Saccharomyces cerevisiae S288C: one gene and its partner. Changing the gene in region 2 together with the main gene of any one other region gives a genetic interaction. Each region holds a gene or a part of one and is shown on either strand. Other genes may lie near its edges.

Region 1 (6,042 bases), on a different chromosome or scaffold from region 2:
TGGAAAAACACTCTCATGGCTATGAATTAGAAAAGTATATCAAACAAAATAAACTAAATATCGATACTAGTGCTGCCTTGGAATCCATTCAGTCGCCTTATTTATTTTTGAATGGTATTTCCGTGATAAATCGTGGAATGGTGAGAGATATAATCGAACCTCATTCGAAGGGATTGCTACTACCTCTTCTAAAGTCTGAAGCGCGTGGCAACTTGCTGGTAGAAAAAAAAGACATCCCTTCTAATTCTTAATTTGTTATCACTCCTATCGACGAGCAGCCGCAGCTAAAAGAACGTTTTAATTATTCCCAAATTCACGTAAGCGATCCTCTTTATGTGCTATATATACATTCATAACATAGTCATTGCATTTTCTATCATACGATTCAACTTGAACAAGTGTTTAACCATTTACGTCGTAAATGTCTACAGTATTATCTTTGGTCGTTGTTGTGGATTCATGCTTTTTTCTTTTCGAGAGCTCTTCGTTTTCAGAACTCAGCTCTTCCTTTTCGGACGACTCCCTTCGACTATTCTCCGTACTTGCTGGTTCGTAGTTAAAAAAGCATTCCCCCCACATGCAAAATATTCCTTTCATATATCCATTCTCCTTTACATATAATACTTTACATTTGGCAAATGGACCTAGTACTTTCCTCGTAGCTCGAGAAAGCTGGTTCAAATCAGAGTTCCTTGGCAAAAACATAATCACATTAGGGCTTAGTTTAAGAAAACTTTTCAACATCTTGGTAATCCCCATAGGCTTTAGATGTTGCTCTAAGTCATACACATCGTTTCTTAAGTATTCTGGACCACCCCACGGGGGTGATCCAAATACACAGTCGTACTTTATTTTGGAAAGTTTCTGCTTAGAGACTAGCTTTTTCCAGGATCCCCGCTTCAGCCATATTCTGTCGTCCACACCGTAGCTTTGGGCGTTTTTCGCAGTACAATATATGTGTTCAATACTGTAGTCCACTCCATAGACGTAAGGAAATTGCATGGCAAATTGTATGGTGTTCCCGCCCCCACCACAGAAAACATCCAGTATTCTTTCGGCATTTGGCATGCATGCCTTAACAAAATTTGCCAGGAAGCAGGCAATTCTTTCGGGCGTCACACTGAACCACAGCTCATCAGTCATATATATCGACGCCGAATCTATCTTTGAAAACAATCTACGCCTATTTTTCCAGTATTTGAAAAGTTTACCATTTTTCAACGGTTTTGATGATTCTATCTTATAGGCATCATTGTTCAATAATTTGATCAGAGTTCTAAAGTTGGAATGATGTTTTCTTTTGCGTGCCGCATGTTTTATTTTCGAAGCATGAATAAATGTCCTTCCCATCACTTCAGTTAAATCAACAAAAATTTTTTCTTCTACTTCTGTCTGTTGCCCCCACAACACGGTATATAATATGGGCAATCAATACAACGAAAAACTTACTCGCTGTTTGCGGAATAACTCACTTCCCCTTCATATAGTTTGGTGCGATGCCTTAGAATTTTTCATACATTGTTTTCATGTGGAAAATATTCAAAAAAAGCGATGGCTGGCGAAGATAAAAAAAAGGCTGCTCCAGCCATTCATTACACAGGCAATTCAATATTTCGGTTAGTAAGATAAAGAAGTCGATATGCCTATCCTTAAACATGTTCAACTGGGATAACCAGATTGCTGGGCTTTCAGCAGGTCATCAATTCTTGTACAAATATGTTGTATATATAGATTTAAGTGCTTGATAATTCGGTTGACAACTTAACGGCTTAACAAGTAAAACAAGAACAATTAACTTAACAATAGTGCTCAAATAAATTTGGCTTATTATCACAACAAATATATCATACGGAATGATCATCAGAGCTCCAATAAGGACAAAAACCAAGTCGTTTAGAGGCGATCAAATGGATTTTAAATTCCCGTCTAACGAAAGTTTACCAAGAGGAACGCTAGAAGAGTACCATTTGAATAATCATCATCTTTTAAATGATGTGTTTGCAGCAGAAAATGGAGTTTCTCGCGATGAAGACGGAAACTCTCAAACATTATCAGACTATACATCCACTTCCAATACAAATACAAATTCCGGTTATTCATCAAATGGATACTATTCATTTGCTAACATTTCTGACAATACTACGTCTTCACCACGTATTGTAATCAATCAAAATGAAACCGCTAGATTAACTTCCTCAGACTCGAACAAAAGTGACTTTTTTGCTTCTCATGACTTCCCAGGAAATGACTCTCTTCATTATAGCAGCTCAAATGTAGTTAAAAACCAGTTACATTCAATGGAAGCTATTCCAGAGGGAAACATAACTGGCTCAATCTCAACGGCATTCCAGACTATCCCAACAGCAGATAATGTTTCCTACGATATCGCGCCGTCATCAGCATCATCGTTATTACCAAGGAAATCGACATCTAAAAGCGCCATTCTGCCGTCGACCCAAGAAGCCAAACCGATGACCAAATTAAATATGGAAAAGGATATAAAAACTATCGAATTAAACAATAGCGTAGTACCGAAACCTAAAAAAAAGCTAAACAGAGTTCCGACCATAAGACGAGTTGAATCCTCGAGGTTTTCCAATTCCAGGTATAGTTCAAGTGTCAGCAGTAAATCAAGTAGCAGTCGTTGTTCTCTAAAACGATCAAAAGCTATTAGATGTAAGGGCGGACTCTTATATTATTTCACCTCATTGGGAATCAAGATAAAGAAAAAGTTACGGAAATTACGGCTAGTTTTAAGAAGAAGACTGTTTTCATATAATGTTCAAAAGGTCCCCTCCGCCACGAATTCCAAAACCACTAAATCTAAAGCAAACATTAACAACAAGTCAAAAAAAAGAGGGACGAACCTAGTCAACAAAAACAGCAACTCTACTCCGCGTCAAAAAAAATCGCAGAGATACGTCTCTAATTTACAACGGTCGATCTCATCAAAATCTTTAGTACCTGTATTGGCTCCACAAAAAAAGACTAAACCTTTGACAGTTGATACGAAATTTAAAGCAAACCATCCCCAATCTGAAGATTCCAAAGTTGGATCAAACACCCCAAGGAGCCCTTTGGTAAGCTATACTCCATCATTGAGAAGAACAAATTCCTCTATTAGAAGGGCTGCATCCATCCTAACCGCATCTGCCACTATGACACCGGCAAATAATAAAAACTCCTTCATTTCTGTACCGGATAATGTTAGTCATGCCGTCACTCGCAACAGCAGCATGTACTCGAGGTCAAGATTGGTAAGGTCAAAACCATCGACGGCCCTAAATGCAATTGCAAGACAGCCATCAATTGTGGTAGAAAATAAAGTTATTCCGTTATCCATGAATCGATATTCTATTAAAGAGGAAGACGAATATGTAATTGATACTAGTTCTATGAGAGAATTATCTCCCGTTAATAGCGTTTGCTCATCTGATTATGACAGAGAATCATCTGAAAGCTACTCTAATTATGCGGATGCAATGGAGACAACGGAAGTAGATAATAAGGACAGAGTTGAATGCAACAATGAAATTCAAAATGTGGATGCAAATAATGAGGAAACTTCAAATGAAGAGAGTTACAATTTGATGAAACATTATTTAAGCACCGTAATTGCTCAAAGAATTATGCTCAGGGTACAAATTGCTCGTATACAAAATTATAAGAGCAATGTTGTTTATATGAATAAATCAGCAGAAACAAACTCAACTATCTACGAAGATCTTGTCGATTCTCTATTAACTGAATATGAGGCTGATGGTAGCTCCTCCCAAATATTTGATGGCGTTACAGTAAGGGCCGACGAGGAAGAAGAAGAAGATGAAGATGATGAAGATGATGAAGAAGAAGAAGAAGAAAATGATGATGAAGAAGATGAAGAAGATGAAGAAGATGATGAAGATGATGAAGAAGAAGAAGAAAAAAGAAAAGAAGGAGAAGGAAGAAATTTGGCAAAAGAGGTAGACGAATTAGCGGAATTAAGTCCGATGAGAAAACAAAGCGATTTGAGTATTACGTTAAGATCTCCATTTGCTATGCTAAATCCTGCCTACTCAAACAGCATTATATCGCTACCAACAGGTGTGGTCAAGAGGTCATTGACTCTTCCTGTCGGTATGAAAATTTAAAAATATATAATAACATAAGTTTGCATTCATTAATATTAATATAAATCAACGTATCAACCATAAGAACCATAATCATAATAATTGTTTACCTTAATGGCGATATCGCCTTTTATCACCATCGACGATAACAAACGCCTATTCTGTCTACCGTTTCTTTTTTTCGCTCGCAATATCAGAATCGTTTATCCCAAAGGGTAGTTATAGCAACTATTTAAATAACTTAGATGTTTCTTTAACTTATTCCGTCATACGTACACAAACACCCGCTAGATATAGCACTCCTTGCTGTCGAACATTATAAAGGTGCTTTTAAAACTACTAATCGTATATTCAGCAGGTCAGAACGCAAAGTCGGACGATAAACTATGTTGAAGCTAGCTCGTCCATTTATTCCGCCTTTATCAAGGAACAATGCCATTTCTTCAGGAATAGTTCTCACTTCTAGAAGATTTCAGTCTTCCTTTACGTTCTTAAGTAACCAGTCTTTACTATCTAAAAATCAAATGAAATCCAAAAGAAAAAAGGGCAGTAAAAAGGCAGCGTACCATCGTCAACCCCCGGAACACGAACATACTGCACCACTTATAAAGCAAAACAAGACAATCACAAAGAAAGAACATAGCGATGTGAGAGGTTCTCATTTAAAAAAGAAAAGAAGCGATTTTTCGTGGCTACCAAGAGTACCATCCACCTCACATTTAAAGCAGAGTGACATGACCACAAATGTACTCTATTCTGGATATAGACCCTTATTCATCAATCCCAATGACCCGAAGCTAAAGGAAGACACCGGAAGTACGTTATACGAATTTGCGATGAAGCTTGAAGATTTAAATGAACCTCTATCACCATGGATTTCCTCTGCCACTGGACTTGAATTCTTTTCAGAGTGGGAGAATATACCTAGTGAACTACTGAAAAATTTGAAGCCTTTTCATCCACCTAAGGAAAAATCAATGAACACAAATGAGCTTATTCATGTAAGTGCTAAGAGAAATACATTAGTTGACAATAAAACAAGTGAGACGCTTCAGCGGAAAATGGATGAATTTTCAAAGAGAAGAGGAAAGGGGAGAAAAAAGTCAGTAGTGACGTTGCTCCAAATGAAGAAAAAACTTGAGGGATGATTATTGAAACGTTTCATTCTGATTTCTGTTTTCCTAGCAGGGAGATCTTCTTAGCATCAATGTGCTTTTTGTACGTGGTTACTTGGGTTTTATTTATTTTTAGTTTCTTCCGGTTCTGTTCACTTTATTAGGCCTTTTCATCTTTTAACATCATAGACCTGTTTATTATACATACGCAACGGTTTTTTTCTTACATCCTTAGAGTATATTACATTCATAAACTTTATCATTCATTTAGAACACCTTTTTTACATGTATATTTTTATATATTTATTTATTATTCTTTTACTTATTGACCTGCTCCTCTCATCCATCTATCTAATATAGTTTTCTCACGACTACTTTTCTCTAGACTAGTCAAATAGCCCTCAAACCCAGATATTTGCAGCTAAAATAACACGAATAAGTAAAGAATCAATATACATATCCTCCACAAGAAAATGTGGAAACATTTTACAAGAAAATGAACGAATACAAAACAAAAACAGTTGTGCAATTACAATAATTATACGATATATACGAGGCAAATTATCAATGCGACGTGATTTCTGGTTGCTGTTTATTGATCTTTATAAGTATTTCTATGAGAATTTCTTGTATCTTTTATCGGAAAATCACCATGAGGCATCTTGAAATATTCTCCTTTAAATATTTTGGAAGACAACACCTGGGTTACCTGGAACAGCATTTTCAACAATCTTTGTTACAGGTGGAATTTCAACTTCTTCACCAGTAAAGATATCCTTACCGGTTTTGGCGCCATATGGGAAAGAAATTGCGCTAAA
Region 2 (7,979 bases):
TTCCGACACCAACCTTATTCTTGTATTCTATGTATTCCGCGCTAAAGAACTCTATCAAATATTTTTCTTCCACACGAATTCTATCACTGAAAAATTTCCAAAGTACAAAAATGAAAATAACCAATGATAGGGGATTTAGAAGCAGTAGCTGAGTGCCAATTGCCCACCAAAAGAACCCAAGATAACTTGGATGTCTTGACCAGGAGTAAACGCCAGTTTTCACTAAAACATGATCGGACTCCTTCTTGGTCTTCACAATATGAGAAAAGGAATGTCCCGCAGTATGCATAGCAATAGTTCTGGTATATTGTCCCAGAATAACTAGAAGACATCCAAGTACTGTACAAAGCTTGGTAGCTAGAGAGTAGCTAAAAATTTTCAGATCAGGAAAAAGAAAGCTTTCTACGAGGCATTCCAGAATAGCAAAGGAATGTGCCGCCATGTAACTTTTGCCGTTGTTCAGAAGAAAGGACTCTGAATGTACCTTAAGAGGATTGTATTTAGCTGTAATATAATACTCCAAAAAATGGAATAAGGACAGGGCAATAATAAAGAGGTTAAAATTCTTGAATCTAATTTGTGGAAAAAGACCAACAAATATACCTAAAAGAATCCCCAGTATGTAGGAAGTCATGGTCACCTCATGCAGCGGATTGCGTCTGATGTCTGGATACTCATGCTCGTCTTCTTGAAAATCTTGGTGCATGTTGTGTTCAAAAACGGTGACCACAATGAAAGAGGAGGTAAAAAGAGTAATTATCTTGAAATCGATTTTCACTTTCTTATATAATTCATCAACACGAGAACCTTTCTATATACTGGTGGTATCATGTAAAGAATTGTTTTACCATAGTGGCCCATTTGTCAATTCGTCTTGAGTGATGTTTCATTATCAATCGGTTGCTATGCCAACGAAAATACTATGTCAGACTCTCTTGATGTATATAATGAATGGCAAAGTACATAGAAATAGATAAAAGTTGTTATTGTGAGTCGGAGGGGCTGTTTGTTTGTCCTACTCGTTGGCCGCGGCCTTGAAATTGGTTCAAATTCGATGGGCCACTTCTTAATTGACTTCCAGAAGCTCTGCCTGAATCTGTGCCACTGGTTTGAGACAATGTTGCAGGGGCCGTACCCAATCGTTGACCTCTTCCACTAAAAGTTCTCGTTTCTCTTTGCGAAGATGGCACATTGGCAAAGTTGTTGTTGAATGTTGCAGTTTCATTGTGGGCACCCGTTATGCGAGCATATAGACTAGTAAACCACCATGGCGTTGAGAATTTCCCATTGGGCGAGATTCCGTAGGTTGGATCAGCTTTTCTGGATATCATCCCCCATATTGGCCCCAGTGTATGGGTATCTAAGCATGTATAAAGGTACCCTGTAGTAAAACCGATCAATGAGATTACGAAATCACCCTCATTAAAAACGAAAGAGATAAACAATTGAATTAAGGGGAAGTACTTCCCCCAAACAGGAATCAAACCATAAAACATGATCTGCACGTTGGCATTGTCGATCGACCAAGTATATGTAATGCATGATATGAACCCAGAGGTGAGCACAACAGGGTAGTAGGACCCATAAATGATTGTAGTGGCCGTAGTGATGGCTAGTATACAAAAGCACAGGTAGTAGGCATAGTCTACTGTTACCATCGGTCCTCGTCTATTGGACAAACCGGGACCAAAATGCCCTCGCTCCAACTGTGAGGACCTGTCATAAATACTATATAGTTCCATTAGCGCAGGCATGGCACGAGACGAAAGCATTACACAAGAAGTAAGAAGTCTCCATATCTGAACCTTCTTGAACGTCAAATTCCAAACATAAATAAAGTACCACGGATTGATTAGATTCAACCGGCCGACGATCGTCATAACGATCGCTAGAGTAAATAAAGTTCTTGTTATTGGGGGGATATTTAACCAGAATTCTTTTGGGCCCATCACATCATTATTACGGCCTCCATTTCCATGTAATGTACGCACATTCCTTGGGCCTGCCATTATTTCCTCGAAAATAGTTTTTGATTTGACTTGGAAATGCGGAATTCACTGGTAATTTGTTGTATTTTGCCTTATATCCTTTGTTTGATACTCTTGTCTTATATTGAAGAGGACACGATTTCATGAGCCGCGAACGGGTAAGTAGGGACTTTTCACATTTGAAATTTTTCAAATGTGATGAGGATCGATTCTGCAAAGCAGCAGATAATAGCAGATAAAAAATAGAGAGTTGCAATATTCAAGTTCCTGGTAGCTGCTCGAATCAAGAGGGGTGAATTAAAGGTTTTCGATTTTTGCTATGGCTGTTCACACCAATAGGCAAATCCTTACAAGAGGCAAAAACTATGCTACAAAGCAATCAAAGAAATTCGGTACCGATGAGGTGACGTTCGACAAGGATTCTCGTTTGGATTATCTGACTGGCTTTCACAAGAGAAAGCTTCAAAGACAAAAGAAAGCACAAGAGTTTATTAAGGAGCAGGAAAGGCTTAGAAAAATTGAAGAAAGACAGAAGATTCGGCAGGAACGTAAGGAGGTGATGGAAGAACAGTTAAAGACGTTTAAAGAGAGTTTAAACTTGGAAGCTGAGATAGAGGATGCGAAAAATGATAAGACGGAGGATTTGCAGGTAGAATCTGATGAATCCTGGCACGGGTTTGATTCTGATAAAGATGACGGCGATAACGACAATAATGAAAGTAGCGTAAAGCCTATTTTGAAGAAAGGAGCAATCACGGAAATATACGATGACTCAACTACTGTTGAATTGGAGACATTGGAACCCAATGATAACTTTGAATATTTAGCCCAGCTAAATAATGTCAAATTAGAAAAGGCAGAAAAAGTACTCAAACAAAGCATAAATAGAGCCACCAAATACGCGAAGTTTCTGGGCGTGGATGAGAAACAAAAGAAGAAGCCAAGAGTAAAAAAGTTCAGATATTTGACCAAAAATGAACGAAGAATAAACCAAAGAAAGGCAAACGACAACAAGCGTAGGAGATAATGCAGTCGCATTATCGTCGGGCACCGCCTGGGGTTTCTTGACGCTCAAACAGTGTTTGATTTTTTTTTGGAAAAGTATATACTGTGCATATGTATTTTTCGTTTATTATATGTAATATATCGAATAAACCATTCTACGGGGAAAATAGAACAAATATTTACAGCATTTGCATGATTTTATATGGCTTGCCCAACAAATTATTTGCTTGCAAACTTAATATAATACTCTGCGTCCAATTTGAAAACGACCCATATGCCTCTTCTAATTACTTCGAAATACTGCATTTCGCCTTGGAAAAAAATGTAGTCGCTATCTGCGGCAACTAATTTCAGATTCTGCGATAAATATACCCATAGCCACCAGAACCTCAGCAAAAAGTCAACGAGAATCGCCGAATGATACATTTTTTTCTTTAATGTGACGGCACTTTTGGATCTGGATCTTAAAGAGGTTAACGAGTCCAATGACCAATCCATCCTTACATCCCAAAATAACGTATAGGAAGAATTAATTAGCATAAACCATCTTTGAACGTGGTGTAGTCTTTCTTCGTTGATGGATCCCTCATACACTCTTGATCTCCAGGTGCAAAAAAGAATGGGAAGATTACAACTGTATTTCAATGCATTGAATAGTAAAGTTGCTTCGTGCAGTAAACGGTATTCTCTCAAACACTGCAGTAGTCTTACCAGTACAGGAAGAAGGGCTACGGATAGATCAAAATGTGTGAAGGGTTCTCTAAAAATTAGAGAGGTAAACAATGTGAAGTCTATCAATGGTTTTGCAAACGATGTCAACGTGTCAGAGATTAAAATGTAGGTATTCCTTAAGGAACGGGGGGAGGATTCTATCAACAAACATCTCCTAGTACAATATTTTATTATCTGGCACTCTTTCAACAGAAACCAAAATATAGTGACACATTGGATCAATGGTAGAAAATATACGATGAGAATGATATTTTTGAGTGGACCTTCTATAATATTCATGAACTCAAAAAGGAACACAGTGGCAAAGTGGAACGGTATAATAATCCTTGTTATCTTCAAAGCAAAATTTCTAGCTGTTCTATGCAATTGCTGTAGAGTATAACCTGGACGTATATCGTGCGGTACTCTCGTGAGTATGACTTGGGATACGTCTAAATTACTATGCAAGAAGAATTTTAATATCCATGTCCAGATCCAAAGGGCAAGTATTATGAGCACAATAAATCGCTGCGGAGGGGGAACATTTAATATATTTTGGAGATAAAGTCCTTCAGAATTACTTTCGCTTTTCTCCATATTTTGCGGCCCAACTTGTTGCAGAATTGAAAACTTTGTATAATACTAATAATAATTTATAATAATAACAATAATAATTTATAACAATAATAACAATGCCAAACAATTTATATGGGTAACCAGTTTTTGGTACTGTTTGCCATCAATATTGCGACTAAATCGGGAGCGGTTAGCGCTGGCTTGCACTTTTTGCAACTGACTCTATTTCTTTCATTGATTATGTTATTTTCAGATGACGAAATACGCCAAAAAAATTCGGGAAATAAATACTAGCGTGATATCGGTTTAGGTATATTACAAAAGAACACCAAGGTAAGGCATCATTAGTTATGTATGCATATTACTGACTTTTACCAAGCGGACCATGACCCGAGTTCAATGATTACCCCTAATACAATTTTTGTGTGTTCCGCCATATGAGCGAGACTTAATCTGTCCAAAGTATCCATGGTGCTGTGAATATACTTGTTAGTCTTTTTGAACTCACTTTCAATCACGAAGGAGCCTGGAAATCCGTTTCTGGTGGCACTCCCATGATCGCTACAAGCATAGCCACATTGTGTATCCCTGTAAGGAATGGATAGATAAGAGTTGATAATTAGTTTTATAAAATCAGTTAATGCGGGAGTAGTGTAGTCGGTGACAATCCCCACATGTTCATCTTCTGGATCAGAAACATATCCCGTCATGTCTTGCTGAAGCATCGCTCTCACATGCTTTTTCTGTTTGGCATAAGCTGTAAAAACATCAAGAGAACCCAACAATCCCCCCTCTTCGGCGGAATAAAAGTGAAATTCCACAGTGTTGTTAGGTCTAAATCCTCTCTTCAAAAAATTTTCCGTATATAATCTGAGAGCCTCCATATTAGTCACCGTGCCTGACCCATTGTCGTCCGCACCTGGAGCTGCCATTATGGATGGCAGTAGCAGATTGATAGAATCTTGATGAGAACCAATTATTATAATATCTTCTGGCGTAGTAGATCCCGTGACACGGACTATAATTGAATATTGCTTCCATTCTTTGTGATCAAAATGTTCAATAGTCAACGTATCTTGCGGAATATCTTTTGTAATATTAGCGATAGTTGCAGCTAACCACTCGGCAGATTCAAAGCCGTGATCGGACTTGTAGTAACGGGTGTAAAAACTTGTAAACTTTGCCAAGTTCTTGTGCATAGAGCCCTTGTCTATATTCTTAATCGAATCATCCACTACTTCTTTGTTCGATATCTCAGGAGGATAGTTATACGTTGGTACTGTTGGCTCTTCCTCCTTGTTAAAGAAAGGTAAGAAAGAAGTGTGTTTGGTCACATCAAAGAATTTGACACCTCTTCTTCGTAAGTTTAGCTTTTCTGATTCGGGAACCTCCATTACCTCATTCTCTCCTACTTGTAAAACCCTTAAAGGCTCATATGGATATGACCATGCGATGATGGCAACATTAAATAAAACAAAAAGCGACTGTATCCTCATATTGTGCTAATCAGCGGTTGATTATGTTACTTACTTTTTCGAATAAAGATTTTGTATTTCTTTAGCTTCGAAGATTGATAATTATTGAATATCAAGTTTCAGTTTACTATAGCGGTCCGAACATATGAAAGATTTTAGTAAAGACGCTGGCAAGCTTTTCAGTCAAAATAATACAAAAGGAAATAGATAGAAAAAAAGGAAATAATCAGGCCTCCATATTGGACTCAACTATCCTTCAGTACCGCAAAACTTATTGTGTCCATATATCCTATGTCAGCATACATCGCAATGAAAGGAGTAATAACAAACGTCGATGAGAACATAAGAAATGATGAAGATGTGGCTTTTGAGTACGAAATACAAAAGACACCGCAGAACATACTTACATGGAAAAGATATATCGAGTATTGGAAAGAGGAGGGAAGAACTGACAAACAGATTAGGTGGCTATATGAAAGATTTTGTTCACAATTTGTAACAGATACAAGTATATGGGAAGATTATATACGCTGGGAATCAACAAAGGAAGTAGTCGAAACTTCACGTATTTTCTGGCTTTTTCAAAGGTGCCTGAAAAGCTGTGTACGAGATTGTGACAGGATATGTTTGTCTTATTTAGAATTGGCAATTGAACAATATGACTTGGCAATGATAAGGCATGCCTTAGCTTCATCTTTAATGAAAATGGAGAGAGAAATGCATCGGAAAGTTTGGGATCCTGTCATAAAATTTGTGGAAGAAAAAGTTTTACCATTAACGCAACTGGATTCAACTCAAGAAGATGAAGAAGAAAGTACTGATGAAGCTGAATTGATAAATGTACTTTTAGTGAAGGGTTTCACGAAGGGAGGTTTTATTAGCGAGGAAATTAGTGAAAACGGAAGTAGAGGTGATATTTGGTCGTCACATATTTTAGAAAGATACTTAAAAGTGGCTCCTCAGCAAAAACGAAATGAATCGCTGGCAACTCTTGCATTAACTAGAGACAATATTACCATCAAATCAGTATATGAAAAGTATTTGCCACAAGATGAAAATAGTGGGAAGTATCTACCTAGTTCAGAACTGCCTTTTGAATTAAATTTCAATTATTTGGCCAGCCTAGAAAAACTAGGTTTAGATAATCAATATGAGGAGTTCATGAGGCAAATGAATGGCATATATCCCGACAAATGGCTTTTTTTGATCCTATCACTTGCCAAATATTATATCTCTCGCGGGAGGCTTGACAGTTGTGGTGATTTATTGAAGAAAAGTTTACAGCAAACACTTAGGTACAGTGATTTTGATCGCATCTATAATTTCTATTTGCTATTTGAGCAAGAGTGCTCCCAATTTATTCTGGGAAAGCTAAAGGAAAATGACAGCAAATTCTTTAATCAAAAAGATTGGACTGAAAAGTTACAAGCTCATATGGCGACATTTGAATCTTTAATCAACTTATATGATATCTATTTGAACGATGTCGCACTAAGGCAAGATTCCAACTTGGTGGAAACGTGGATGAAAAGAGTGTCCTTGCAGAAGTCAGCAGCGGAAAAGTGTAATGTGTATTCAGAAGCTATACTGAAAATTGATCCCCGAAAAGTTGGTACGCCTGGCTCTTTCGGTAGGCTTTGGTGTTCGTATGGGGATTTGTATTGGAGATCAAACGCAATTAGTACAGCTAGAGAATTGTGGACACAATCTCTGAAGGTACCGTATCCTTATATAGAAGATCTGGAAGAAATTTACCTAAACTGGGCTGATAGAGAATTAGATAAAGAAGGGGTGGAAAGAGCTTTTTCTATCCTTGAAGATGCATTACATGTGCCAACAAATCCAGAAATTCTCCTCGAAAAATATAAGAATGGACACAGAAAAATACCTGCTCAAACTGTTCTATTCAACTCATTACGTATTTGGTCCAAATACATTGATTATCTAGAGGCTTACTGCCCAAAGGATGCAAATTCCTCCGATAAAATATTCAATAAGACAAAAATGGCATACAATACTGTTATTGATTTGAGATTGATCACTCCAGCAATGGCAGAAAATTTTGCATTGTTCTTACAAAATCATTACGAAGTCATGGAAAGTTTTCAGGTGTATGAGAAAACAATCCCTCTGTTTCCCCCCGAAATCCAATACGAATTATGGATTGAGTATCTAGAAGTAGCGACATCACATCAATTGTCATCACTGAGTCCTGAACATATTA

Evidence for each region. Genes that interact genetically often act in the same process or in processes that back each other up.
Region 1: mutations in ERD1 (region 2) and AIM44 together harm fitness less than expected from each alone (positive genetic interaction), as found in Saccharomyces cerevisiae (3 studies listed by BioGRID).

Annotation. Positions count from the first base shown.
Region 1 is NC_001148.4:250,122-256,163, reverse strand, and holds AIM44 (Aim44p), read left to right. Parts: upstream 1-1,853; coding exon 1,854-4,130; downstream 4,131-6,042. Other genes in the region: pheromone-regulated protein PRM4, read left to right, coding at 1-251; TGS1 (RNA methyltransferase), read right to left, coding at 403-1,350; PET20 (Pet20p), read left to right, coding at 4,496-5,257; leucine--tRNA ligase CDC60, read right to left, coding at 5,902-6,042.
Region 2 is NC_001136.10:1,292,386-1,300,364, forward strand, and holds ERD1 (Erd1p), read right to left. Parts: upstream 4,302-7,979; coding exon 3,213-4,301; downstream 1-3,212. Other genes in the region: STE14 (protein-S-isoprenylcysteine carboxyl O-methyltransferase), read right to left, coding at 1-706; DFM1 (Dfm1p), read right to left, coding at 984-2,009; rRNA-processing protein RRP17, read left to right, coding at 2,308-3,015; YDR415C (putative aminopeptidase), read right to left, coding at 4,652-5,776; mRNA splicing protein SYF1, read left to right, coding at 6,047-7,979. UniProt on the Saccharomyces cerevisiae protein: Required for the retention of luminal endoplasmic reticulum proteins, affects glycoprotein processing in the Golgi apparatus.